Rattus norvegicus: one gene and its partners. The protein of the gene in region 5 purifies or fractionates together with the protein of the main gene of each other region. This does not show direct contact. Links are inferred from orthologs where the notes say so. Each region holds a gene or a part of one and is shown on either strand. Other genes may lie near its edges.

What was found.
Region 1: the proteins of Anapc4 (region 5) and Cdc26 purify together in Homo sapiens (affinity purification with mass spectrometry; 11 studies listed by BioGRID and IntAct, with this or other methods). This does not show direct contact. The link is inferred for Rattus norvegicus from reciprocal best matches to the Homo sapiens genes ANAPC4 and CDC26.
Region 2: the proteins of Anapc4 (region 5) and Ccna2 purify together in Homo sapiens (affinity purification with western blotting; 3 studies listed by BioGRID). This does not show direct contact. The link is inferred for Rattus norvegicus from reciprocal best matches to the Homo sapiens genes ANAPC4 and CCNA2.
Region 3: the proteins of Anapc4 (region 5) and Anapc16 purify together in Homo sapiens (co-immunoprecipitation; 10 studies listed by BioGRID and IntAct, with this or other methods). This does not show direct contact. The link is inferred for Rattus norvegicus from reciprocal best matches to the Homo sapiens genes ANAPC4 and ANAPC16.
Region 4: the proteins of Anapc4 (region 5) and Ccnb1 purify together in Homo sapiens (affinity purification with western blotting; 3 studies listed by BioGRID). This does not show direct contact. The link is inferred for Rattus norvegicus from reciprocal best matches to the Homo sapiens genes ANAPC4 and CCNB1.
Region 6: the proteins of Anapc4 (region 5) and Anapc13 purify together in Homo sapiens (affinity purification with mass spectrometry; 9 studies listed by BioGRID and IntAct, counting the BioPlex papers as one, with this or other methods). This does not show direct contact. The link is inferred for Rattus norvegicus from reciprocal best matches to the Homo sapiens genes ANAPC4 and ANAPC13.
Region 7: the proteins of Anapc4 (region 5) and Anapc7 purify together in Homo sapiens (affinity purification with western blotting; 14 studies listed by BioGRID and IntAct, with this or other methods). This does not show direct contact. The link is inferred for Rattus norvegicus from reciprocal best matches to the Homo sapiens genes ANAPC4 and ANAPC7.

What each region holds. Positions count from the first base shown.
Region 1 is NC_086023.1:80,872,527-80,876,690, forward strand, and holds the start of Cdc26 (anaphase-promoting complex subunit CDC26), read right to left. Parts: upstream 2,801-4,164; 5' UTR 2,733-2,800; intron 5-2,732; exon of another isoform or gene 1-4. Other genes in the region: Prpf4 (U4/U6 small nuclear ribonucleoprotein Prp4), read left to right, coding at 3,060-3,086, 3,760-3,937. UniProt on the Homo sapiens protein: Component of the anaphase promoting complex/cyclosome (APC/C), a cell cycle-regulated E3 ubiquitin ligase that controls progression through mitosis and the G1 phase of the cell cycle.
Region 2 is NC_086020.1:121,358,897-121,362,886, forward strand, and holds the start of Ccna2 (cyclin-A2), read right to left. Parts: upstream 2,801-3,990; 5' UTR 2,700-2,800; coding exon 2,529-2,699; intron 1,880-2,528; coding exon 1,636-1,879; intron 716-1,635; coding exon of another isoform or gene 628-715; intron 1-627. UniProt on the Homo sapiens protein: Cyclin which controls both the G1/S and the G2/M transition phases of the cell cycle. Functions through the formation of specific serine/threonine protein kinase holoenzyme complexes with the cyclin-dependent protein kinases CDK1 or CDK2.
Region 3 is NC_086038.1:28,478,090-28,481,589, reverse strand, and holds part of Anapc16 (anaphase-promoting complex subunit 16), read left to right. Parts: intron 1-2,685; coding exon 2,686-2,852; intron 2,853-3,500. UniProt on the Homo sapiens protein: Component of the anaphase promoting complex/cyclosome (APC/C), a cell cycle-regulated E3 ubiquitin ligase that controls progression through mitosis and the G1 phase of the cell cycle.
Region 4 is NC_086020.1:33,648,989-33,652,225, forward strand, and holds part of Ccnb1 (G2/mitotic-specific cyclin-B1), read right to left. Parts: intron 2,894-3,237; coding exon 2,711-2,893; intron 961-2,710; coding exon 802-960; intron 619-801; coding exon 382-618; intron 148-381; coding exon 7-147; intron 1-6. UniProt on the Homo sapiens protein: Essential for the control of the cell cycle at the G2/M (mitosis) transition.
Region 5 is NC_086032.1:62,367,773-62,371,845, reverse strand, and holds the start of Anapc4 (anaphase-promoting complex subunit 4), read left to right. Parts: upstream 1-1,273; 5' UTR 1,274-1,455; coding exon 1,456-1,584; intron 1,585-3,005; coding exon 3,006-3,111; intron 3,112-4,073. UniProt on the Homo sapiens protein: Component of the anaphase promoting complex/cyclosome (APC/C), a cell cycle-regulated E3 ubiquitin ligase that controls progression through mitosis and the G1 phase of the cell cycle.
Region 6 is NC_086026.1:112,083,027-112,087,204, reverse strand, and holds the start of Anapc13 (anaphase-promoting complex subunit 13), read right to left. Parts: upstream 2,801-4,178; 5' UTR 2,748-2,800; exon of another isoform or gene 2,559-2,747; intron 2,530-2,558; exon of another isoform or gene 2,390-2,529; intron 468-2,389; exon of another isoform or gene 376-467; intron 1-375. UniProt on the Homo sapiens protein: Component of the anaphase promoting complex/cyclosome (APC/C), a cell cycle-regulated E3 ubiquitin ligase that controls progression through mitosis and the G1 phase of the cell cycle.
Region 7 is NC_086030.1:39,818,815-39,822,823, forward strand, and holds the start of Anapc7 (anaphase-promoting complex subunit 7), read right to left. Parts: upstream 2,801-4,009; 5' UTR 2,672-2,800; intron 2,086-2,671; exon of another isoform or gene 2,084-2,085; 5' UTR 1,930-2,083; coding exon 1,829-1,929; intron 1,813-1,828; exon of another isoform or gene 869-1,812; intron 707-868; exon of another isoform or gene 1-706. UniProt on the Homo sapiens protein: Component of the anaphase promoting complex/cyclosome (APC/C), a cell cycle-regulated E3 ubiquitin ligase that controls progression through mitosis and the G1 phase of the cell cycle.

The DNA of each region.
Region 1 (4,164 bases), on a different chromosome or scaffold from region 5:
TGTGGGGAAAACACAACACAACAGACCATGCCAATCTAGGGCAAAAACAGAACTCTAAGGAGGGTCCTTCAACAGCACTGCATGAGCATCTAGCCGAGGGTGGGCTGCCTAAGAGTGGCTAGGGATCTCAATTCCCTATGGGAAAAGGTGTCTTAGTGAATTTGAAGGGTAGGCAGACAGACTTAAGGTCAGAGAAGTTCATATGGAGAATGAAGGTTTGTGTTAACAAAGCCCATGTTTGTTTCAGAACAAACACTTGAGCTGGCAGCACCCGGTAGAGTGGGCCCTGCAACTCACCTGGGCAGCAGTAGAGCTAGCCCCGGTGAAAGGCGTGGATGAGGTAGTCCCTGAAGACCTGAGAACAGGAGAGCTGACACTCCCCCTTGCCAGCTGTGGCACTGGGTAAACTAGCTGGAGCAGTGTTGGAGAGTTCACCCGGATGGTGCAGATACAGGTGGCAGGCTGATCAACTCAGCTACCTCCCAGGACCAAATCCAGGGCTCTGAGTTGGCCCACCCCAGCATCTACCCCATCTATGATCTGCACAAGCTGCAGGGTCACATCTCCATGACACAGGGCAACAACATATCTGAGAGGAGTCCTAGTGAGGTTCCAGTATAGTGTAGCAAAAGCCAGAGGCCCTAAAACAGGCCCATGACTCATTGCACTGAATGAGCATTTATAAGTTTAGGTGTGTGGACAAACGGGTATACTCCATGATACACCATGATGTGCTACAGAGTCCATGACAAATTTTTGTTTATTCTATCTTATTTTCTTATTGTAGGGGGGAGGTTGCAAGGGCAGATGCAAAGGGACAGGGAGATGAGTGGGACTGGGGTGGATGATGTGATGTTCACAAAGAATCAATCAAAAGTTAAGAAGAAAACCTAAGGGGTTGGGGATTTAGCTCAGTGGTAGAGCACTTGCCTAGCAAGCGCAAGGCCCTGGGTTCGGTCCCCAGCTCCGAAAAAAAGAAAAAGAAAAAAAGAAAACCTAAGCTGACTTTAGTATCTGTTGAAGGTATTGTCTCTATGTCCTCCACAGCATCCACAACAAAGTAAACTGAGCCATAAAAAATAGAGAAAGTGAAACTAACTTTTCTTAAATTCTAGACTCTCCCATTATTGGTTTTTCTTCTCACTTTGATAACTCAAAAGTTTTTGCCTCTTAAAAAAAAGTTTGTTCTATTTATTTGTTGGGTGCTGGTGAAAGCACATAGCCCACAGGCAGAGGTCAGAGGACAATGTCTGGGAGTTGGTTCTCTCCATCTACTATGTAGGACACCACACTTAGCATGGGCTCCTTTACGACTGAACCAACCCACATTCCCATTCTTTATATTACTTTAATACAGAAGCCTTGGGAAGCTTGAAAAATTATTCCAGTTTTATAAAGTTGAAGCAAACAGTTTAATTAACAAATTCAGAAGCCGGGTGGTGGTGGCACACACCTTTAATCCCAGCACTCTGAAGGCAGAGGCAAGCAGATCTCTGTAAGTTTGAGGTCAGCCTGGTCTACAGAACATGTTCCAGGGCATCCAGGGCTACACAGAGAAACCCTGTCTTCCAAAAAAAAAACAAAATAGCCTCCTATAAAAGTTACTCATAGACCACTAGAATAAAAAGTTGTGATAATGATCTTCGTGAAAGTTCCGCAAAAAAAAAGTTCCGATATAGTGTGCATCCATATAAATTATTATTGCATGCTAGCAGAATGAAACAAAAGACTACGATGTATACGAAACATTTACACTTCTTACACTTCTCTCAGGAGTGTCACATTATATCACATCTCAAGGGGCCATATGGTCAACACAAAACACTGGCCTGTGACAATTCAAACTGCTTTATTCTATCAGATACTACCTTCTACCAGATCCCTAAGTAGAGAAATGGAAGCCAGCTCCAAAGAGAAAGGGAAGAAATACTTAAGAAAAATAATTTCCTACTTGGGTATGAACTGAAAGCCTCACCACTAGAGAGCAACAGTGAGTACGGGTTAAAAGCGCGGCAGTCCACCCGCCACATTACTAACCCTACTACACTGTGGCTCCAGAACGACGGATTACCTTTTCTCACCAGAATTTATTTTCTGATCTTTACTCTTGTTGTCCCGCGACTTAAATAACTAAGATAGAATAAGCTCCTTGCGCGTAACGTGGCATTTAGTAAGCCCTCGAAGTGGAAGTGCTCTTCTAACTGGAGTTGTTCGGGGAAGAAAGAGGCTTAAGAGTGAGAATGAGTCTGTTCAGCTCAGCAAACGCGAATATTTTGCAATCCCCGCAACTTTCATGTAAGGGTTTAAAAAAAAAATATCTCTGACGGCCTAGCAATCATTGCAACTGCAGCTGCTGGTATACACTTTATCTGGCGCCTCCCTGGACCCTTTATTTCAAAGAACATATAAAAAGAACAGGCTGTAGACAAGTAAAACAACAACAAACTAGGCCGCAGCTCCTCCACCACATCTCTATTTTAGCCTTAGAAGGCTCTTCGAGTTTAATGTCTTCTTAAAGCACAAAATCACTTCGTAGCCACCCAGTTACCAGGGGCCCCCGGAGAACTTCCGTCGTGAACAACAGTCCTCTTTCCCAGCTCCAATGCTGCAGAAGTCTAGGGAGAGATTTCAATGGCAGCACAGGCCTCGGTTTCAAAATGACGGAAGGCCTCCCGAAGGAGAGCAGAGACCCTTGGTTTGTTCCAGATTAGACTTGCGATTCGCAAACTTACCTCTTTTCAGGCCTCTGAAGCTTCCCAGAACCTCAACTCCCACCTTGACTCCATTGCTACGCAGCCCGAACTACACTTCCCAAGTTGCTCTGCGCCTTTTTTTCCCACGCGCCTCTTCTCCCGAGAGGTTGTGCCGCTCTATAAGGCCACGCCCATCGATGACAGCCGACACTTGGCAACTACCACTCCCAAGATACTTCGCGACTCCTAGAGCACGAACTGGTACATTTCCGGCCAGTGACGCACTTCCACTTTGCTAGGCGCGCGGTTCCCGGTCTGAAAAGCAGAACGGGATTTGGCTAGGGCCTCGCGGCTCCAGAGCCCGGCATGGCCTCCTCACGAGCCTCCTCCACGGTACGGAGTTCCGCATCTAAGTTCATGCTTATCCTCTCCTAGGGAGGACGCGGTCCCCGTGGGAAAGGGCCGTTACCTTACGGGTCCGGGCAGAGGAGGAGGAGGAGGAAGGCTGGGGGACCGTGGTGTGGACCTTAGCAGCCTTTTCCTGATTTCTAAACGCCTAAACTGCAGCTCTTTTTGCACTGCTCTTACTTAAGCCCTGAGCAGTGAACAACACTTTTTCTGACTGCTCCAAAGCACAGTTCTTTGAAATCGGGCAGTGTCTTGACGTAAGCTGTACGACTGGTACTTATGAGGCCTCCCAACTTCTAATAGGCTCTGAAAGTATTTGAAATGTGTATTCCAGTAACATTGTGACTTGGTGCGCCGAATTGTTTGGGTTGTTTTGGGTGTATGTCCAGTGGCGAGAAGTTATTTTCGTAAAATCGGAGATTGCATTTCGAATAGATTAAAGTAACAGGCCCCAAAACAAACCAAGACATATCAGACAGAAATTGTTTAATTGTAATTGTGTGCCAAATTTAACGAGAGCGTGAGCTCGGCGCAAAGTCACTTTCGACTTTGTCCTAGTTGTGAGAGGAAATAAAATGAAGGCTCAGCATTTCCTTCATTCTTTTGGAAAGCATGGTTTGCTAGGACCAAACCTTAATCGGGGTCTTTGATTTAACAGACAACCAAAACTAAAGCACCTGACGATTTAGTTGCTCCTGTTGTGAAGAAACCACACATCTATTATGGAAGCTTGGAAGAGAAAGAGCGGGAACGCCTGGCCAAAGGAGAGTCTGGGATTTTGGGAAAAGAAGGACTCAAAGCCGGCATTGAAGCAGGAAATATTAATATAACGTCTGGTAAGATGCAAGTTGAAAATCACACACCCCCTCCCCCCCTTTTTTAACAGTGCTAGGAATCCAACCCAGGGTTTTTTGCATGCTAGGCAACTGTTCTGCCACTGAACCACATTCTCATCTTTCCACTACACTCTTGCCTGTGACCTCACACTGCTTCTGCCTCCTCCCTGGTACTAGAATCAGGTGTACACGACTGTGCCCCTCTGATGAGTCATGTTATAGGATCA
Region 2 (3,990 bases), on a different chromosome or scaffold from region 5:
AATGTTAGTAAAGATATCAAGTCTGTCATACCATGTTCAAACAGACTAACTATAATCTGTAAGGGACTTGGTGTTTGTTAAACAGGGTCTCATTCTGTGGGCCAGACTGGCCTGAAATTCACTCCGTAACCTAGGCTGACAATCTTGCCTTAGCCTCCTGAGTGCTATTGGGCATTAATATACTCAGCTCTAGTTTTTACCATTTAAATTATCTTGAGATAGGGGAATCTGTGTAATAATAGTTTCCATACCCTCCTCCTACCCCATCAGTAGAACTAAGTGAACTGGGGGGCTGGGAAATGGCAGTGCAGTGCCTGCTGGATAAGCATGAAGATGTGCATTGCATTCCCAGCACCACTCAAGCTAGATGTTGTGGCATTGTCTGCAACCCTAGACGGGAAGAAGAAAAAGGGTTGAAATACTCAGTTCCCTGCAGTTTGATGGCCAGGCTGTCTAGCCAAATCAGTGAGCCCCAATGAGACCTTTGATTAAGAAATGATATAGAAAAGTGATTGAAGATACCCCAAAGTCAAGTACTCTCTCTAGCCTCTACATGTACCAGCACAGGCAAGCGTAATACTCCTTCCCCTGGCACACATATAGCATAAGGTAGAAAGTGACAGATACCAACATCTCTGGTCTCCACAGTGAGATCATAGCACCGGCAGAGCTGTCTATAGCAGCTATTCTGCCTTCCATGTGTCTGACCTGCAATCTGACAAACATTTAAATTAGTTTTAAAGGAATGGCAGATATAATGCTTAAAACTGTAGGCTCAAGGAGCACTCTTAGGACTGGCATGTTAAGAAGTGAATCATACATAAAACTGAAATCTATTATCTCAGCCAAACACTTATAAAGTCATATTAAGATAGGCATTTAAGATCTAATTAAAATTGATGTAGCTTTGTCCAGCAGTGCCCTCCCTGCTGGTTAAGGATTTGAGTCCTTTTATAGGTCAGTGGATCTGTGATCCTTTCTAAGCCCACTGTAGTAATCTTAACTCACTGTGTTATGAGCAGGTAAGCATAGTCTTAAAACTCAAAAATATCAACCGCAGGACTTTTGGTGACTGCAGTCGATCAGTGCTAAAGTACAGTGGTAAAATCCGTTAGTCATGGCTATGATGAACACATTTGGAGTGAAAATTTTAAAAATGCTACGTATTTTAAATATATTTGAAACGACATTTTGATTCGTAAACTGAATGTAAATAAACCTGAAATTTGCAAAATTAAAAAAAACCTCAAAAATATCACTAACCCAATTAAGTAACTAATTTTTTAGCTTAATAACAATCTTTAGAGTATGCCAAGCAAGGTACGGATGGTGCCAGGCCTGTAATCTAGAATTTGAGAGGCTGAGGCAGGACGGTTTGAGTTCAAGGTTAGTCTGAGCTACAGATTGAGATCCTGTCTCAAAAGGTAAAGGTTTGGTGTGGTAGCACATGCCTTTAATCCCAGCAATCAGGAGGCAGAGGTAGGTGGATCTCTTATTTCAAGGCCAGCCTAGTCTTATAGAGTATGAGTTTCAGGACAGTCAAGAATACTCGAGAAACTCAGAGGGGGAAAAAAAGACAGCAAGGAGGGAAGGAAAGAAGAAACAGGGACTGGTAAAAATAAAGAGTAACCTTACCAAAACTACCATCCATTGGATAATCAAGAGGTACCAGTGGTTTTCTGGCTCCGGGTAAAGAGACAGCGGCACTAAAAGCCAGGGCATCTTCACACTGAGTTTCTTTTTGCTCAGCTGGCCTCTTCTGAGTCTCTTCAGCTTCATCCACATGAATGGTGAAGGCAGGCTGTTTACTGACTGCTTTCCATGAAGGAACAGTAGGGACGTGCTCATCGTTTATAGGAAGGTCCTTAAGAGGCGCAACCTAAAGAGAAGGAATTCTTTTTTAATACTTTGCTTCTTGCCCTGTGGGTACCAACTTTTATTTCCAAATACTCTTAAGAAAAATGTAAGTTCATGAGTCAAAGTCCAGGTAAGGTGAGTAAACCGATTTGTCACAGCCATTTCTACAAAGGCTATAAATGCAACGGATTGGAATTCCAAACTAATCAAAGACTAAAGTTAGGGGAAAGAACTGATTCACAACTTTAGCCTCAGGGTGGAGCAAAACAGCAAGTCTGGCTAAAATGGCGGAATTTACCAAGCAGAATACTTGCTTTATGTCCTTCCCTTAAGTAGTAATCTGTGAAGCAGATGGTGAGGGGGAAGGGATCTATATCCTACTGCAATGCCTGGCTTTAAAAGTGGAGGGAAAGGTACATGGCCGAAGTCGACACGCGGGGCACTGCTTGGTATGACCCTAGAATTTTTAGGAAGACCGCTCCACTAGTGCTGAAGGGCAGTATACACGGGTCCGCAGGGCTCGTGGGGCTATTTGGTACTAAAAACGCCCGGACCGCAAAGGCTGCAGCCCGACTACCCCTAGAAAGCTCAGCATGCTTTTTGGCCCTCTGGGCTGGTAAACCCAAGACCGCTTCCGCCCGGCCCTCCGACAGACCCCCGCGCCCTTTTACCCGCCGAGTCTTGAGCCTCTGCTGCGGCGCCGGTCCCCGCACCTTCCCGGCCTTCAGCACCGCCTGCGCCCGCGGCTGCTGGGCTGGCGCCACTTTTTCGGGGTTGACATTCTCCTGGTCTTCCTGCTGGGAGAGCAGGGCCGAGCCCGCCTGTCTCGAGTTGCCCGGCATTGCGGCTCCGGTCCGGATCCGTCGGCGGCAGAGCGTGCAAGGCGCCCGCCGCTCCCGGGCTGCGCGGGACCCTGGCGGCCGACGCACGGAGCAGGCGCTGCGGGAGGGAGGAGCGCAGAGCCCAAGTGCCGCGAGCCGCGCGCGGCCCGCCGGCTGTTCTTGTAGTTCAAGTAGCCCGCGACTATTGAAATGGACCAATGAGGGCGGTCGGGGCCAGTGACGTCACCAGGAGCGCCGGTCGCCGCGAGCAAAGGCCCGACGGGAATCTGGCAGGGCGGGCGCCTGAGGGACGCGCCTGCGCAGAGAAGGGCGGGGCAAGCGGCAGCCTTCCGCAACTCTCCGATCCTCTGTGGGTCTGTAACCTCCCAGGATCCTACCAGAGCAGCTGGGCGGACCAGACTAGCCCTCGGGGCCTCGGAGTGTCAGCATTCCTGTCAGCTAAGGGGTGTAGCGACTTCCCCTGGTCGCTGGGTGGCGCCTAGGCAGGACTGTATGGACTCAGCTGACTAGCCGCTCCCTTACCAGCTGACTAGCTGCTCCTCTCTCTCGGTGGTGCTGCCCATTCAACACAGGGAAACTGATATTTTTACTGTTTACTACTGCTTCGCCTCTCCTGTATATATTTTTTGTTTGTTGTTTTTGAGGCAGGGTCTCCCAGTTGTCCTGCGATTCACTGACAATCCACCCGCCTCGGTCTCATGAGTTCTGTTCTAGGACTAAAGGCATGTGTCACTATGCCTGGTATTCCAGTAAACTTTTCCTCGCCTCTAATAAAGATGGGTCAATTTAAAATGCCAACTTGAGCTATTGTTGGTACCAAGTGGTGTATTACAAGAAATTCAGATGTCCATTTATTTTGTTAATCCTTGGTTGTGACATCAAATAGTACACCATGAAGTTCCAGTGACCCAAATAGATATTACATTTAAAATGAACTGCATGAGTTCAAGTTAGTTCCAAGTCAGCTATTTAGTGAGACGATGTCTCAAGAGTAGAAAAAGTGTGCATAAGAAAACGGGGCAGCCAGGAGGCGGTGGCTAAACCTTTAATGCAGGCAACTCACCAGGCGGGTGGATCTCTTGTGAGTTCAAGGCCAGCCTGGAGGGCAGAGCTAGTTCCGGGTCAGCTACACAAAGAAATCCTGTCTTGAAAATCAAACCAAACCAAACCAAACCAAACCAAACCAAACCACCCCCACCCCCCCCACACACACACACGGAGGGAAGGAGGGAGAGAGAGGGAGGGAGAGAAATACAAAACCTTACTAAAATAAAGACCCAACTATACGTGC
Region 3 (3,500 bases), on a different chromosome or scaffold from region 5:
TTAAAAGTTTACTAGGCTATATTTCAAACTGATGTACCACAAAAGAGAAGTTATAAATTCCACAGAAACGGTTACTTTCCCTGAACAAGTAAATTCTGAAAGTAATGTAAGGACAAAATTGAGAGTATTGTCAGTGCGGCTGGGCTTGCAGGCAGAGTCTTTTATACCATCACTGAGAGGCCCATGGGTCCCTGTGAGTGTGAGGCCAGCCTGAACTGCATAGCAAGTTCCAGAACAGCCAGAGCTAAGCAGTGAGACCCCATTTAAAAAAAAAAAAAAAGTTGAAAGGAAAAGAGCTAGTTAATGAGTTTGCATTTATTCATAACAGGCTGCTAGTCTCACAGCAGCAGTTTTACTATTAGCCCATGTCAGTGTTCATTAATGCAACCTACGACGGCCATATGATGCAACTAGAAACCAGGCTCTGCCTCTCTGACAGCCACATGTCACTGCCACATAGTTCTGGGCCAGCAGCCACCATCTCAGGTTGCGTGTACCACTTTCCTTAGAAGGAAACGAGATGGTCTGGACATAAAGGATTTACAGGAACGTAGTATTCTCTAGTATTTTTCTGTTTAAAAAGTGTTTCAGTTTTCTGTTTAAAAAGTGTTGGGGATTGAAACTAGAGCATGAAATGTTTATAGCTTGTGCTCCCCCCACTGAGTCATAACCCAGCCTTCAACTTTTCCTAGCAAGTATGTCAGAACTAAGGGGGAAATGAGTAAAAACGACTCAGCACAATTCCCCTTGACCATAACAGAGGGAGTTGTGCTTTTATTAGTTTGGTTTTTTTGTTGTTGTTGGGTTTGTTTGGTTTTTTGTTTTTTGTTTGTTTTCTTTTTTCTTTTTTTTTTTGCATTTTGTTTTTTTTTTTTTGTTTTGTTTTTTTTTTTTTTTTTTTTTTTTTTGCATTTTGTTTTGTCCAATTGAGGGATCTTATGTATCCCAGCCTGGCCTTGAAATTGCTATAATCAAAGATGACCTCCAACTTCTGGTTCTTCCACCTCTGCCTCCCAGGTACAAGAATCTTACTTCTGGGCCACCATGCCTTGTTTATGTGGCGCTGGAACTAAGCTTCCTCTATACTAGGCAGATACTCCTAAGTAAACAATATCCACAGCCCTGGAAAATTCATTTTAAAGATTGATTCAAAGCCAGCCGTGGTGGCACATGACCATAATCCCAGCACTTGGGAAGGTGACACAGTGGGGTTGCCTTGAATATCGCTCAGACCAGGTCAGGATAGATAGTAAGTTCCAGGCTAGCAAATTAAGACCTTCTCTATAAATAAATAAAGTCTTTTTTTTCAATGCTGAAATCTGTATAATATCAAGATTAGCCATTGTCCATTGTTATTGGAACAGGCTCTCGGCTATGTTTCCAGGTTACAAAATCCCTTGCCTCAGCCTCCTGTGTAACTAAAATGTCCCAGTACACACCACTACTCCTGTGTAAAGTCATTTGTTCAGTTAAATACTAGAATTCTGACCCAGTGAGAAACCACTAGCCCCATTATTGAAATTTTATCTAGTATTTTTAAATGGACATAAATAGCTTTTCAGTTACATTATTAGACACAACATGAAACTGATGGCTACCAAATTGGGCAGAACTAGAATATCAGAGAATTTCCAAGGTGCAGGTTCTAAGTGGCATAAACATGGTACTAACCAGTCTTAAAATATATACTGTAGAGTCTTCATAGGCTTCTGAGGCTGTGTTCTTGTTCTGAGTTTTGTGAGACATGTGTTCAGTACTGGGGTCCGGGTTTTCAGATGGGATGCAGAATTAAGCCCACAGATGCTCAGTTCATGAAGGACCATTGTTTCTGAGATTTGATCCTGAATTATTTTTGTTCCAGCTTTGGGGCGCCACCAAGTGTTGGATTTAGGTATGACATTTAGATGAAAAGATTAATGAGTTCTTAATGAACGTGCCAATATGAATTTCCTCACTGATTTCCCTTCCTTGGGAACAGAACACAGTGTTATTCTGGACTCCTACTTGGAAAACCTGATAAGCGAACTTGGTGGTGTGGCTTGGCTTGGTGAGGAGTGTATCCAAGACAAACTGTCCTGTGGAGTAGTAGTATTTTATCTGTGGTCCCATTTTTGCCTTGGCCCTGCCATATCTCCCTTCATAACTCAGGAATTATCCACATTCAATCCCAAGTGGCATAATTCGTTAATGGGTTAATGGGAGAAAATAGGGCTCTCTAACTAGGCAAGATTTCTTTTGGTTTTGGTTTTTGGTTTTTCAAGACAGGGTTTCTCTGTGTATCCCTAGCTGTCCTGGAACTCATTAGGTAGACCAGGCTGGCTTCCAGTTCTCACGTATCGGCCTGTTTCTAGCTCCTGGGATTAAAGGTGTGTCCCACCATACCCATTCAAGCTCTTCTTTTTTTTTTTTTTTTTTTTTTTTTTTTTTTTTTTTTTTGGTTCTTTTTTTCGGAGCTGGGGACCGAACCCAGGGCCTTGCGCTTCCTAGGCAAGCGCTCTACCACTGAGCTAAATCCCCCAACCCCACATTCAAGCTCTTCTTAAACATGATTTACTTGAAAACCTGCGTGACATTATAAAAGACTATATAAGGATGGAGGACAGGGAAAGCTGGTCCTACTGGGCCAGAATGAAGTGTCGTCCATCTGGCTTTATAAACTTGCCAATTGCTGTTTTTTTCCTCTAGTGAAGAGAGACTTCTACTGGAGGGAATGGCCGCCTCCTCATCCTCATCTTCAGCTGGTGGGGTCAGTGGAAGTTCTGTCCCTGGATCTGGTTTCAGTGTGTCCGACCTTGCCCCACCACGGAAAGCTCTGTTCACCTACCCGAAAGGAGCTGGAGAGATACTAGAAGGTGATCTCATGCTGTGTTTGCTGAATAATTGGCTTCAGACCTTCAATGCATGTAAAATGTAAAGGAGCTGGGGCTGGGGGCCCTTGAGTAACCTGACCAGGGTTGCCACTGGCTCTGGACCCTCTTGATCTCCTGCTCCAGGTGGTCTTGTAACGCCTGTTGATGTATCTTCTTTTTAGTGAGTATCTACCCCACCAGAGAGGCCTGAAGGGGAAATAAGAGTTAATGTATTTACCTCTGTGAAGGTGACTCTCATGGGCCACTGCCAGACATGGCTGTATGACCGCATGGTTTATAGCACTGGAGATAGATTTGCAGCCACCGTCTTAGCACACAGACTGGCTGGCCAGAAATAGGTCACGGGCAGCAGCCATGAAATGGTGTTAGTGACTGGAACGTATCGGATTCATGTTAGGTAAACTGGTGATTCATGGTAGAAGCATAAGACTCATGTGAGACACTGAACTTAAATATGTCTTGCCAGGCAGATGTCTCTAAGTTCTTCTTCATAGTGAGTTCCAGGCCAACTAGGGGTGTACAGTGAGACCCTCTTTCTTAAAAAGAGAGAGACAGAGACAGAGAGAGACAGACGGGGGGTGGGGGAGGGAAAAGAAAGGAAAGGAAAGGAAAGAAACAAAAGAAGCTAAA
Region 4 (3,237 bases), on a different chromosome or scaffold from region 5:
GCTTACCCATTCACCGTTGTCAAGGATTTTCAGGGCTAAGCAAAAAGCCCCAGCTGCAATTTGAGAAGGGGCAAAATGCACCATGTCGTAGTCCAGCATGGAGAGCTCCATGAGGTATTTGGCCAAAGTATGCTGCTCCACATCGACCTGGAACAGACGACCCACACACCACTCTAAGCCGTTAGCAGTAACTGACAAAGGCCTGGGACTAAACTCTCAAAGTAACCACACGATATGTAGTTAGGTCATCAGCCTTATTTTTAAATGTTAGCAGCTGTATTTTCTCATGTGGCAAAACAAAACAAACAAACAAACAAAAAACAACAAAAAAAAAAAAAAAACAAAAAAAGAAAAGAAAAAAATTCCTCCAGAAGTCTGTACCTCTCCAATTTTAGATGCTCTACGGAGGAAGTGCAGAGGCAGAGGGCGACCCAGACTGAAGTTCAGAACTCTCAGAATCTTCATCTCCATCTGTCTGATCTGGTGCTTGGTGTAAGTGTTGTTAGTCACAAAAGCGAAGTCACCGATCTCTGGAGGGTACATCTCCTCGTATTTGCTTGCAATAAACATGGCAGTTACACCAACCAGCTGCAGCATCTTCTTGGGCACACAACTGTCCTGCAATGGCAAGTTCAGTCTGTCCTCGAACCTCTCAACTGATACACCTGACTTCCCAAGAAAAGGGTGTTTCAGGCTCAGCAGGTAAGTTTCCTGCCTACCTTCAGGGCCTGCTCCCCCTCCTCTGAGACTCTCAGAGAAGACAACCGGAGAACCAACTGCAAATGGCTGGAGCACACATACCTGCATGAACCGATCGATAATGGACACAGTCATGTACATGGTCTCCTGCAGCAGCCGAAATTTCATCTGAACCTGTATTAGCCAGTCGATTAGGATGGCTCTCATGTTTCCAGTGACTTCACGACCCAGTAGGTATTTTGGTCTAACTGACTGCTCTTCCTGTAAAAGAAAATGCCAGTTATTCTAGAACAATCCTGCCATATAACGTTTGTGTCCACAAAGGCCAGTCAACTAACACAAAACAAGTAGCTCTTGGGACAGAAGTTCACCAAGAAAGCAAGGTTTAGGTTAGTCATAACAGGTTCTTCATATTGTTGATATTCGGTTAACCAGAATGACTGCAGCTTATACCCTGTACCCATCCTCATCTCAGATCTTTTCACTCTGCTGGAAAGCTGATCTAAGTTATACACTCAAAACACCCAACATAGCGCAAATACGAAACCCAGTTCTGCAGTGTTAGAACACAACAAAAAAAAGTATTAACAAGGAAAAAGGAAGACAGCTAGTTTGGAACCAGGAATCTTACTAAACATTACTTTAGAAAATACAGACACTAGCTACAAAGAATGGGTGTCAGCAAAATGGCTTCATGGGGAAAGGCCTGCTGACTTAAATTGAATTTTTTTTTTTAAAGATTTATTTATTTTATGCATATGAGTACACTGTAGCTGTCTTCAGACACACCAGAAGAGGGCATCAGATCTCATTACAGATGGTTGTGAGCCACCATGTGGTTGCTGGGATTTGAACTCAGGACCTCTGGAAGAGCAGTCAGTGCTCTTAACCACTGAGCCATCTCTCCAGCCCTTAAATTGAATTTTAATTCACTCCAGGACCCACATAAAGGCAGAAGGAGAACCAATTCTTTTGTCTTTTTGTTTCTCAAGACAGTGTTTCTTTGTGTAGCCCTGGCTGTTTTGGAACTATGTAGATCAGGCTAGCCTCCTCCCTTTGCCTCCTCAGTGATGGGATTAAAGGCATGTACTGCTGCCACTTCACAAGGCAATCAATCAACCCCTGGAAGTTGTCATTTGACCCCCTCTATGTGCCCACCCATACAACAACACTTGGAAACACTATTACAAAAGAGACTAAAAAATAAAAAAACAAACAAACAAACAAACAAAAAACCCAAAAAACTAATGACAACCTGAGAAGACAATGCTAGGATATAGTTGAGTGGCAAAGTACTTGATTAGCACGCACAAGGACTGTCCCTAGGACTGGGGGGACAGGGAGGGTCTAAACCTGATCAAACTGCATGAACTATATAGAATGTCTTGTTTAAAAGATAAAAGGGCAAGTCCCATTGATAGAAAGTTTTCCAAGTAGGTGGAGGTGATGGGACCAACAACTTCCACCTTGGATAGAGAATCGAGCGCACACTGATACAAAATGCCTTGTGTGGGACAGCGAGTGTCTGTTAGCACCATCCAACCCGTTCTCGAACCACACACATGTAGGACTTCCCCCTCTCTATGGTATGTCTATTTTAGGAAGGTATCTCCCAACACTGACATTTTATATTCAAAGTGGCAAGTCCACTTCACGGGGTTAGTGACTTTATTTTTAGTGTTTCAAAACTAACAACAGTGCTCTGAGTGTAACAAATAGTATTCATTGTCAAAAATTGTCAGGTGCGCTGTTAGTAAAAATTTCTTTGACAGCTGAATTGAATGTCACAGAACTTTAATCCCAGCACCAGTGAGGCAGAAGGATCTCTGTGAGTTCCAGGCTAGCCTTTAAATTAGTTAGTAAATAACATAAAGGGATAAACCAGGTATAGTGCAGCATCTCCCTTTAATTCCAGCACCAGGAATACTGATCCAGGAGGATCTTAAATAGCAAGAGTAAGGGCTTAGGGTAGCTGCAGTTAGTAAAGGCAGACGCTAATGACAATACTGACCTCCAGTTGTCTGAGGTAAGCATAGATATCTTTCACATATTCACTACAGAGGTTTGGATCACCACCATCGTCTGCATCTACATCACTCACTGCAAGAATCACATCGGAGAAAGCCTGACACAGATATTCTTCGGCAGGTGCACATCCAGATGTTTCCATTGGGCTTGGAGAGGGAGTATCAACCTTGAAGAAAAGAGACTTCATGAAACATGCTACATCATGGGAGCGTAAAGTCATCATCCCCAATTCAGTAAGTCATTCTAAATAAATGTAATTCATTTTATTAAACGAAAGGTATTTCAGATTCTTTCCCCCAATTTCTTTTTGGGAAATGATTCATACTGGGCTGGAGTGATGGTTTTAGCTATAAAGAACATTTGCTGCTTTTGCCAAGGGCTGGTTTTCTATTAAAAAACCAGGTGACTCAACCTTAGTTCCAGGATATCTGACGACCTCTTCAGATCTCCCTGGGCCCTGCACTCATTGCAAACTGATATCTCACTCATGAAGAAAAAAACAAACCATAG
Region 5 (4,073 bases):
AATTGTTCTGTTCCTCAGTGGATTCCGATGAAAAGTGGTAACAAAATCAGATATAACTCTAAGAGAAGCCACTGGAGGAGAATGGAGCTGGGTTCATAAGCATTCACACAATGGCAAGACTGAGGGTTTATACTGAACTGAGATCATCGATCAGTCCTACCAGATGGATTTCAACAATTTTAACCTGGAGACTTGCTTGCATCTAAATTAGGGTGTTTGTTCAGTAATAACATTTAGAACCTTTCAAAAAAAAAAAAACTACTACACATGACAAAATGTAGACTTTGCTAAGAAGGATGAGAACTCTCCCATCTTGCAGGATGGTCTTTGTACTTAAAACTGTCCCCCAGAGAAGTTGTGATCAACATATTGATTATTGAAGTTGCCTGGCAGTCAGTTTCTGTCCAAATTTTCTCACAAAATTGAATGTTTAGATAGCCATAGAATAAATCCTGCTTCCTCTTAACTGTGGTGAGTTTGTTACAAGTTAAGTGATTATTTAAATAGGATGAGAAGTCAAACTATTTGTCCCGTGTCCGGGAGGGTACAAACACTTTAACATATTTTTCTGTAAACAGTGTTTTGTTTTGTTTTTAAATGTTAATTTCTGTCCAATGTTAATTCTCTTTTAGTTTGCTAAACTTCTGCCTGATAGAGAGGGCTTTTTGTTGTTTTAAATTCTACTGTGCAGCCAGCGCTGAAAACTACTATGAGTGTCCCAAAGGAGGTGTGTGGATCGGGAGTTTTGATTAGAGCCTAAACCTGGAACAATCAAGGGATTATCTGCATTGAAGCAAATTTCTGAACAAACGGCAAAGACCTTAAAGGGGTTCCCACTATGAGTGTCCCAAAGGAGGTGTGTGGATCGGGAGTTTTGATTAGAGCCTAAACCTGGAACAATCAAGGGATTATCTGCATAGAAGCAAATTTCTGAGCAAACGGCAAAGACCTTAAAGGGGTTCCCACTTGTCCGCGTATACACCGTTAAGGATCCTTTGGAGCTTGCTGGGTACTAGGCAACCCAGAGTAGCGGACCTTCAAGGCACTAGAGCTCGCTCCGCCCCTAGCCACGCCCAGCCACGCTCCTCTCACTTCTAGCCCCGCCCACCCCTGCTGTAGCCCAGGCCAACTTTGCCTTAGGCACTCGCTTGCCGCGTCCACATAGCTCCGCCTCATATCAAGCCCCGCCCAAGTGCGCAGCCCTGCGTTCTCCCCGCCCCACCTGCGCGCCGCCGCTTTGCCACTCACTTCCTCTCGCGAGGACAACCTAGCGTCGGCGCCGGAAGCTTCCTCTGAGCGCGGAGGGCGGAGTGAGAGGGCGGGGAAGGCAGCTGGCTAGGAGTAGGCCGAGTTTGAGAGTCTGGCAGGTACCGCTGCTGGCAGGGCTTTGCGCCAAAGCTTTGTGGCCGGGTGCTCCGACGGCCTTCACGAGAGCGTCGTTGCAGGGCCGCACCCATGCTGCGCTTTCCGACCTGTTTCCCATCCTTTCGGGTGGTGGGAGAGAAGCAACTGCCGCAAGAGATTATTTTCTTGGCCTGGTCACCCAAGCGAGACCTCATTGCTTTGGCCAACACTACAGGCGAGGTAAGTGAGCTGGTGAGAGTTTGCCTATGCTGGGACTCTCGAGCCTCAGTTTCCCCTTTCGCAGACATGTTGAATCACATATCTATCCTGTCCCTACATCTCAGCGTGGCTGTTCACTTGAAGAGAAAGTGTAAAGGACCGTGCCTGCCAAACATGGTGTATATTCCATTTCCTGTATGGCCAGAAGAACAAATTCCCTCAAAGTTCTGCACACACAGGTCTCCATGAATTGATTTGGCCAGGGATGCAACATCAGACCCCGCCCAATTGGCTTTCAGATGAGTAGAGAATGAAGATGAACTGTCAGGTCCAACTAGAAATGTGTGTGTGTGCACGCGCAGTTGCTACGGAGGATGTTTGGTTTTGAATTTTTATATTTTTGTTACATCTAGCTATTTAAAAGATCTTTAAGTTGAGAGGCTGTGCTTCACAGAATTGCAGACAGAATGTGTATGAACATCGTCAATTAGCATTTCTAACATTAGAAACGTGAACACTCAGTATCAAGTATAACCAGAACATACCCAACTTTTTGTGGGGGAAAATTATTACCTGGCAGCCATCTTGAAAGGAACCCTTCAGCTGTGCCATTTAACATCTCACCTATGTAAAACTAGGTGGTAAGGAAGTCCTAGCATCCAGGGCAGTTTCGTGTGCCAAATTGCATTATCGTGTTGTGTGTCATGATGGCTCTGTCTCTAAGATCCATGGCTGGTGACAAAGCTAAGAGCAGTCATGGTTGTTATTTTACTATGTCACAGCTACCTTTTGATATTGTTTCTGTTACTTCTTTTGTTTGTCATCTGGGACAGCCTTCTTAACCTTTTCAAAAAAGTAAGCTTAAAAGATATGAAAGGGGCTGGAGACGAGCTCAGCCATCCAGAGCACATGCTGTTCTTAGTGATGACCTGGGCTTGGTTCATAGCACCCACATGGGTACTCGCACCTGTCAGTAGCTCCAGTTCCAGGGAGAACTGATGCCCTCTTCTGGCCTCCTTGGGCACTGGCTGCACAAATGTGATATAAATATATACATGTACACACGTGTACTTTTAAAAAAAATGAAGGCCGGACAGATGACTCAGTGGTTAAGAGCACTGACTGCTCTCCCAGAGGTCCTGAGTTCAAATTCCAGCAACCATATGGTGGCTCACAACCATCTGTAATGAGATCGATGCCCTCTTCTGGTGTGTCTGAAGACACCTACAGTGTACTTAAAAAATGAAAATATGTAGAGTGCAGGTCTGAGTTGTGCCCTCTGAGTTCATCCATTTCTTTGAAAATGTCTTACATTCATTTGGACACAGTTGCTTTGTGGACAGCTAAATACTCAAAAGTGGTAATTAAAGTTTGTGTTCTGGGGGTCTAGGTTCATTTTATTTCTGCAGATGAGTTTCTGCTATTACATCTTTTCGTCTTAGGTTTTACTGCATCGCCTTGCAAGTTTTCATCGCGTCTGGAGTTTTCCACCAAATGAAAGTACAGGAAAAGAAGTGACCTGCTTGGCCTGGAGACCAGATGGCAAACGTATGATAATGCTACGAATGTGTATCTTTTATTTTCAAAAAGGATATTCTAAAAAGAATACATTTTTCTTGGCACATTTTAGAATTATGGTTTTGTTTCTGTTATATAGGTCTTACCACACAACCCCGACTGACCTAGGACTTGCTGTGTAAACCAGGCTGCACTAGAACTTACAGAGACTCACCTGCCTCTGCCTCCCCCGTGCTAGGCTTAAGAACATGTGTTACCTACCATACCTGGCCCTATATTAGAATTGTAAATACTAGTTTGAGACTTTTTCTTTTTAGAATGTTTAAAATATTTTTCGTGAAAGTCTGTTGTTGGCAAGGATAACTCTTTATCAAGCCCTGGCTTTGTGGCAGATAGGATCGCAGTCTGACACAGTTATAGACCACTTGGCTTTGGTTCTCTCTGCTCTCTTGTCCTACATCATTTGACCCAAGTACCGTTCACCACTCATGGGTCAGTTCAGTGCCATCACAGCCCTTTTCTCCCCCAAATTCAGTTGGCACTAAATGTGAGGTTCATAAATTTTCTCTATGTAAGGCAGTTTACCACTCCCGAGAAACCTCCCACTGGGACTCCATTTCCCACAGGTCTTTTCCTGCTGTTGTTGTTCAGATCATTCATCTTGCATGGGTGTGTGTGGGGGTTGCATGCGTGTGTCCAAGTGGGTGTGGGTGGGTATGTGATTTGTTTAGTTTTTTAAATTGATAGTTTTTTGAGCAGTTATTCCAAGTGTTAGAATAGTAAAATGCTATGGGCTACAGCTTGTGGTCTGTAAGTCACATAGGGCTCTGAATAACAATGAATGTGGCCCATGGCCCAACACAATTTTTTTTTAAATATTTATTTATTTATTTATTTTGTGTATGTAAGAACGCTGTCTCTATCTTCAGACACACCAGAAGAGGCCATCTGATCCCATTGCAGATGGTTGTGAGCCACCAAGTGGTTGCTGG
Region 6 (4,178 bases), on a different chromosome or scaffold from region 5:
GAAATTTCACCAGTCTGGCTTAGACTTGGGGAGTTTGATGCCAGGAGGTTTATTTCTAACGGACTTAAACTGGTATGATTTGAAAAAGAGTTTCCTGGTATAACAATTTCTGGTGCACAAGAAAGTGTAATTACATTAAAACTGCACTTAGGGTCCACGACATTCCTTCCAAGAAGGCGGGTTCTAGAGATAGGTACTGGGGTCCAAGGAAGGTCTCAGTCATACAGCAAGAGAGTTCACCTGGGCTATCAGCGACCTTCGCCCTGGCTGTAGGAGCCTGATGTGGTCTGGCCCAACAGATCACTCAGATTACAGGACTGTTAATCACTTCCAATTCCCAGCTCTTTGGATAGAAGAACAGGTTTTACATCTTACCATTGGAAAAACAATCCTGCACGTTTAACATTTTCCCTGGATATTTGTGGGTGCAGGGATCTTTGTGCTGCGATCCCAACATCCAGCCTTCATCCTTCTTGAAAAAAAAAAAAAAAAACCCTGTTTATTTGTGTATGTACATGTGGAAGTCAAAGGACAACGTGGCGATTTTGGTTCTCTTCTTCCATCAAGTGGGTCCCAGAGATTGAACTCAGGTTGCCTGTAAGCCACTAGGCCGTCTTGTTGGCTTTCCTCAGTGTCTGTTCCAAAGGCTCAGGATGCTTGCTTAGGCCCCTGACCACAGACTGCTTCACATGTTTCTCCTCAAACTGTTGCAGTCTAACTCAAAAGACTGGTCGTCAAGCAGTGCTTTTTGGGTTTCTGGCTTCCAAGTTTGTTCCTTATCACAGACACAGCCTATTGTGCTTCTTGCCACAAAGTGGCAACCCAAGGAAAGGTCCTAAGGGTTAGCACCAGTAGCTCTCTCAGGAACTGCTGTTTCTGAGAGAAGGGAGACTCAAGCAAGAAACAAACTTTGCCATACGGCTATGTGCTTGTCTCCAATGGTGTAAAGGCAAAGCTAGCACTATCTACCGAGTCTGCAGGAGGGAAAGGGCTTTCACTTTAAAAAATTAAACAAGATGGGGCCCAGAAGGAGGTTCAGTGGACTGAAGTGCTTGCTGTGCAAACAAGGGACCTGACTTCAGATTGCTGGCACCCACGTAAAAAGCCTGGCACGATGGCACACACTTGTGTCCTCCGGGAGGCTGCCAGGCAGTCTAGTTGAATCAGAAAGTTCCAGGTTTAGTTTAAGATTCAAAGTAATAAAGGAAGACACAGACGTTGACCTCTGACCTCTACACTCATCTACGACTCCACCTGTAGGCAGAAACCACACCTTTTTTGTCTGCTCATGCACACAGACACACCACACACCCGCATACAAACACTGAAGCCAAAGGTGGTCAGCTCCTCCTGCTGAGTGAAAACCAGGTGATGGCTTAGCAGTTTTCCTCAGACTTAACCAGACCCTAGCTAGTGGATAATGCAAAGCTAGCTGAAGAGCCACTTCTAGTCACTCCTCTAGGGCTTGACAAGTTTCCTCCCCTTTCCTGTCAATCTTTTGTTTTTATAGCTGTGTCTTGGGCTACATTTCATTCTTTCCTGTACTGATTTTCCCAGTCCTATACAGACTGCATCCTTTTCTAAAGTGTTCTGACTTCCTTCCAGTTTTTTAGCAGGCTCTTTGTCCTTGAATGCTTTGTTGCTCACATTAAATGATCTATGAAACAAGTTAGGTCAGCTTTGTGATTGACTGGCAGAGTCCTACTGTCTCCAGTGGTAATGCGGTGATTCCCAATCTTTCAACAAGCTGGCCTCAATGTTTGTTTGTTTGTTTTTTAATTATTTATTATGTATATATCATACAGCTCTCTGCCTGCATGTATGCCTGCAGACCAGAAGAGGGCACCAGATCTCATTACAGATGGTTGTGAGCCACCATGTGGTTGCTGGGAATTGAACTCAGGACCTCTAGAAGAGTAGACAGTGTTTTTAACCCCTGAGCCATCTCTCTGAGCCTGGCCTCATGATTTTTTAACTCCCTGAGCCCGGCCTCAATGTTTTTTAACACGACCCTCTCCCACATGCCTACAAACCGGCTTGCTTTTTACCCACCCACTGTACTTCATCAGTTATGCTTGCTCGTCCTTCTAAACAACAGGAACCGCGGCAGGGCTTTGAAGTCTACATCTATTTTCCTGGGTCAGGTGATCGGGTGCTCCCCCTGGGAAAAGCAAGCACAGGCAATGCCCCAAACCCTTACGACACAGCATAACCTCTCTAGGTTTCTTAAACTTTTTGTACTCTTCTCTTACTATGCCCGGTCCTCCAGATAAATTCTCAGCTCTCAGATTGTCTTGATCTCTGAGCACAATATGTGACAACAGGAGTTTTTTTGTCCAGACATCTCTTTCTAGATATTAGATGCGTACGTCCTATGAGACATACTCACGTTTTATGTATTTTCACAATCACAGCTTTGTAAATGTATTTCTAAGCTAAAAGCACGGGGGCCGATACTAAAATTGGCCTTCGCAGGCCACCATCTTGGGTCACTAGACGCAGAACCACCCGCTGCAGCCGTTTCCGGTTCGAGTGCTGGAGCTACTACGTGCGGAAGTGCAAGGGGGAGGTCGAGCGTCGCCATGGGTGCTCCGTTCCACTCCGCACAGCGTGCAGTAAAGAAGTGGCTCTGAAGGTCGGTTGAGAGTACCGGCCTGCGCTTCTGGAAGCGCTGAACGACTCTGAAGTCGAGGGCGAACGCTTGGCTACTCTCAGAAACCCGGGCGGCGGGCGCGAAAAACCCTTACCCACAGAGCGCGCGTCGGCTTCCTCCGGGCCCCGCCCTTCTTCCGGGTCACGTGACGCACGGCGCTCTCATACCCCGTATGTAGGTGAGTCCATTCGCTGCTGTAGGGGGCGGGACGAACGTCGATTTATTGTGACGTGCGCGCGTTCCCGGTCAGAGGAACGGCGGGCAGGCCCCGGGGCGCGCTCTGCCGGGGGCGCGCTCCGTAACCGACCGCATGCCCCTAAGACGGGCGAGCTGCGGCTTGTTGTGCGTTTGCGGCCCTGGCCACCGTGGTGCCGCTAACCTTCTGGCCGCATGGCCCGGGGCCGCAGTTCGTTGCGGCCCACCTACCGCGGGGGCCTCCACTGCACGCCCACTGCTGTCCGGCCGCTGCGTCCCTGGGTTCCTCCGTCTCCTCCCTATGGGGCTCTGAGCTGACCGGCCAGGTGCTACGGCCAGCGGGAGGGCGGGTTGCTTCGCTCCCGGGGAGGAACCCTGCTGCTACGGGTGTAGGACCAGGCCTTAGCATTAGCCACTCAGCGTGAAGTCCGCAGGGTTCCCTCGTAATGTTCGTAGGAAAGGTGCGGGAACCCCTGATGCAGGCGAATTGCGGAACGCTTTCAAGTCGAGTGAAAGTTTTGAAAGAGCAGTTCGATAACAACGCTTTACGCGGAGACACTTGACCGTGAATGGATTGATTGGAAAGGGCTTTTGTACTTCACAGAATCGTGGGGTTACAGAGTTTTCATTTATAAACTGTACACTTATTGCTCAAAGCGATCCCCTTTCTCTCCAACTAGCACCGGCTCTCCTTTGTTGCTCTGGTCGACCAGGCTGGCCTCATTGTAGATGGACCTACCTCTGCCTGCTAGTTAAGGATCTGCACCACCTCGCCTGGCTTTTTGAGTTCTCTTTCTTGAGGCCAATTTAGAGTTTTAAAATGTATTACTTTATTAAAGCAGGGTAGGTGCTCTTTGTACAATTCTTCGAACATTTGCATTTATTTTGTATTTATATTTTGTAAGTCAAAGATCAATGGCTTTAATTATCTAACTATTTACACCTACTCTTAAAGGCTGTAGCTTAGTGATACGATGAAACGAATTATCTTCGTTTCATTCATGAATTATATTCATTCATTGGAATGCAGCGCCATTTTTAGGTAATTTTTGTCCCTGCTTCTTGTCTTTCACTGTGCCGTCCTCAGCGATCAGTTAAGGAGGTTGTCAAACTAAAATGGGTTAGAGATTTATAAACAGATGCATGTCCCTTTAGAATGTGTATCTGCTGATGCTGTTTCCTCCTGTGGGGAGGTAGGGGACAGTTCCTTAGGCCTTCCTGTCCTGTGTAGTGGCTGATGGTGACAGCATTAGTCCACACTATCATAGCTAACATAGTTAAGGTACTCTCCATGCCAAAGGCTAGATTTGCTTTTTTAAGTTTTACAAAA
Region 7 (4,009 bases), on a different chromosome or scaffold from region 5:
TACATGCCAGGGAGGCTCTCCAAGTCTGAGGTACAACTCTAACCTCTAGAGGAAAGCTGTAACAAACCACTCCATAAACACCCTTCATTCTTTGAATTTCCTATGTGACATTACACACATTGTTCAACCAACTTGCCCATTTTCGATTTGGGCAGTGCTGAAGATGAAACCTATGGTCTCAAACATTTTAGGTAAGAATTCTACCACTGAACTTTTTTCAACAGTGTATACACTGTCTCTTCAACAAATAACAAAATATAAAGGATACAGGTCAGAACTTAAATGCTTCCTGTAGCTAAAGAAAACTGATGATCTAACCTAGTGTGAACAAGCATGGATTAGCCAAAGTCAGACTAGCTAGAGAAGCAAACTCAAGAGCATTCAGACAATGCTAACACACTGTCAAGACTCAAGAGTAAAGATTAGAGCATTAATCCCCAATACTATTTGCTATGACGAATCACTCAGACCCAGGGGGAAAGGCCTCAGAATCAACATAGAAGACTGACAGAGACCAGTGCGTCCCGTGTCACATTAAGAAGATGGTGATCGGGGCTGGAGAGATGGCTCAGAGATTAAGAGCACTGAGTGCTCTTCCAGAGGTCCTGAGTTCAAATCCCAGAAACCACATGGTGGCTCACAACCATCTGTAATGGGATCTGATGCCCTCTTCTGGTGTCTGAAGACAACTACATATTTACATATATATGTAAATATTTTACATATATATACACACATATATACATATATACATATATATATATGTATATATACATATATATATGTATATGTATATATACACACATACACAGTGGTGGACTGCAGTAGAAACTATCTCCAATCACAGACAACCAGAACTCAAACCCACTTGCTCCTCTAAGTTCTCCGGAGTATAATCTTGGTCGACCTATTGGACTGCCTTGTAATAGACACGCACTTTCATTAAGTTTAATAGTGCTTCTCACACATGGAAACTGCTCTTTCAACAGATGGCAAGAGAGAAGGGGAAAGATCAAAGTGGAAAGGTCTGGTGCTAGGAGGTCCGTTTAAGAAGAGGCTTCTGAGCTGAAAACTGAACCAGGAAGCAAGCAGTTCTGAAGTGAAGCCACAGGTGCCAATGCCCGGAGAGAATGAACTTGTACTGAGAGTTCGGGCAAGGTGAGAAATCAAAGAAAGGAATGAATAGGTTGACTTGGGAAGCCACGTCGAAGGGTGAAGCAATGATGGGGAATTTTTATCAAGGCCCAACAGGCACTCAAGGCCACAACTGTCCCGTGCTTCAACTGAGACTCAGTAAACCGGTCTAGACTCAGTAAACTCCGTTGGTAGGGTTTGCCTAGCACGCATGAAATCCCGGGTTCGAACCCCAGGACCACACGTACACCGAGCACAGTGGGGCAAAAACCAGCGATCCCAGCTTCTGGGAGCAAGGTCTTCCTCGACTACACAGTCTGTTGCGGGCTCGTCTGGGCTACAGGAGAGCCTGTTTGTAAACAAACCAAAACAAACCAGTCACGACAATGCGGCTGCGTCGGGCCTTACAAAAGGCTGCCAGAGTCCTTTAAAAAAAAGGCGCCACGACGCTCGCCAAGGGTGCTCCCAGTCTCGAAAGTGGGGTTCCCTCCCTACGCCAGAGCGGAACCTCCATGTCTGACTGGGTGGACTGGGTCTCCGGGAGGCAGCAAGAGGACTGCGTCGTTCTGGAAATAGCCAGTCCTCCGAGACCACCGGAAGAGGCCCTCGCTATCCGCGCAGCCTCAGCCGGACCACAGCGTCCTCCACTATCTCAGCCCCGGCTCCCAGACCGCCGCTCCCCGCCTCCACTCACGGGTTGTTATTACTCATGGTCAGCAGCAAGCTGCTGAGGAGCCGCACGTTGGAGTGCAGCCCAGCGGCCGCCATGTCCCGCACATGATCTATCACACTCATCCTGCCCGGCGACACCGTGACCCAGCAGCAGCTGACAGAACCCCCAGGAGCGGAGCCGAGTCTCAGGGAAAGTTCCAAAATGGCGGCGGCGGCGGGGTCCTTCTGGTCCAGACGCGGCTCCGCCCCCCGAAGATATAGGTTGCTACGGATGTGCCTGCGTAAAAAGAGGCAGTCGTGAGGCGAAAGGGGTTGCCCCATCATTAAAGGATAAATTTTATTGAGGACTGACCACGCTAGAAGGAATATCCGAGTAGGAATAGTGGTTTTGCTGAGATAAAGACAACCCAAGAAGAATGGACGCCTCTCAGAGGCTAGCAACAATGTTTAGGAGTTCATCATAAACCTAGCAGAGGCGGAAAACTAACAGTTAAAATTGAATTTTTGAATCAGGCGCCCAAGGGCTGACTTTTTTCCACTACGCGTGCGCTCCAGGGGAAGGTGCCACGCCCCCTCATCTGCTGGCTTGTGTTCCTGTCGCTCGCTGAGTAGATTCCTTGCTACAAGTCATGGTTTACCAATTCAAGTGGCCCGCTAAATCCAAGTACAAAGAAAGGATAGGTCCAGGAGTGAGCTGGATCTCTGATGGCTCCACTGTCAACATCTCAAGCGTTTACGAACTCGTTACTGCATTGCATAGTCACAAACTGCAACGCTGAAGCCATTCCCATAAAGGGTGGAGAGCCGACTCAGAAGTTAAATCTGCATGCTTCTCTTGCAGAAGAATTCCGTTCCTAGCACCTACCTGGTGGCTCACAACAGTCTGTAAGACCAGATCCAGGGCATCCGACTCCTTCTGGTGTCCATGGGCACATACATGCATGTGGTATACAGACATACATTCAGGAATGCATGATAATCATAAAAATAAATTAAAAAAATAACAACTTATGGCCGGGCGGTGATTTGATCCCAGCGCTTGGGAGACAGAGGCAGCCTAATCTCTGTGAGTTCGACATCAACATGGTTTATAGAGTCCAGGACAGCTAGGGATACATAGAGAAACAGTGTCTGAAAAAGCCTCCCCTAAAATAGATAAATACTCTGAATTGTCATTCATTCCCTACTTGCCAACGAAGAAACCCAAACTTTCAAATGTTAAAGCTGGGCACCTTAAGAGTAGAAGCACTTATCAGCAAGGCTAGCTTTCTAAATTGGACCCCCTGTGTCCACCATGGTGGAAGGAGAGAGCAGACTCCTTCACGTTGTCCTCTGAGACAGCAGCATGTGCCTTTCACTCCCACAAAATAAGTAACTACATGCAAATAAAATTTAAACAACTGAAGATGTTTGTTTAGATTTGAGATTCAAGGTTTGTTTTCATTTTTTTTTAATCCAGGAGAGAGAGAGAGAGAGAGAGAGAGAGAGAGAGAGAGAGAGAGAGAGAGAACGAACTCACATGGATACTGGGTTAAAACTCACATTCTCATGCTTCCGTAGTATGGTGGTGACCTGAATGAGAATGGCCCCGTAGGCTTGGATAGTTGACTGTTTGGTTCCCACTTAGTGGATTGTTTAGGAAGGATTAGAAGGAGTGGCCTCGGAGGAGGTGTACCTCTATGGGTGAGCTTCGAGGTCTCAAAAGCCCACACCACGCCCAGTCTCACTCCCTCTCTGCCTCCACCTTTCAGATCAGATGTAAGGCCTTAGCTACTGCTCCAGAGCATGACTGCCTGATGCCCTGCTTCCTACTGTGATGATCATGGGCTAACCCTCTGACACTGCAAGGCAGTCCCCAATTAAGTGCTTTATTTTGTAAGTTGCCTTCGGTCATGGTGTCTCCTCACGGCAATAGAATAGTATCCAAGGCACGCAGCAGGCACTTTACCAACTGAGTCCTATTCACTTAATCTTAAAGAAACAGATGCGAAAGAAAGTCCATTTATTCTAAGAAAAATCATGACAGAAACACACACACACACACACACACACACACACACACACACACACACGAATGTTCTGTCTGCATGTACAGCTGCATGTCAGAAGAGAGCATCAGATCCCTTTATAGATGTTGTGAACCACCAATGTGGTTGCTGAGAATTGAACTCAGGACCTTCGAAAGAACAACCAAGGGCAGCCC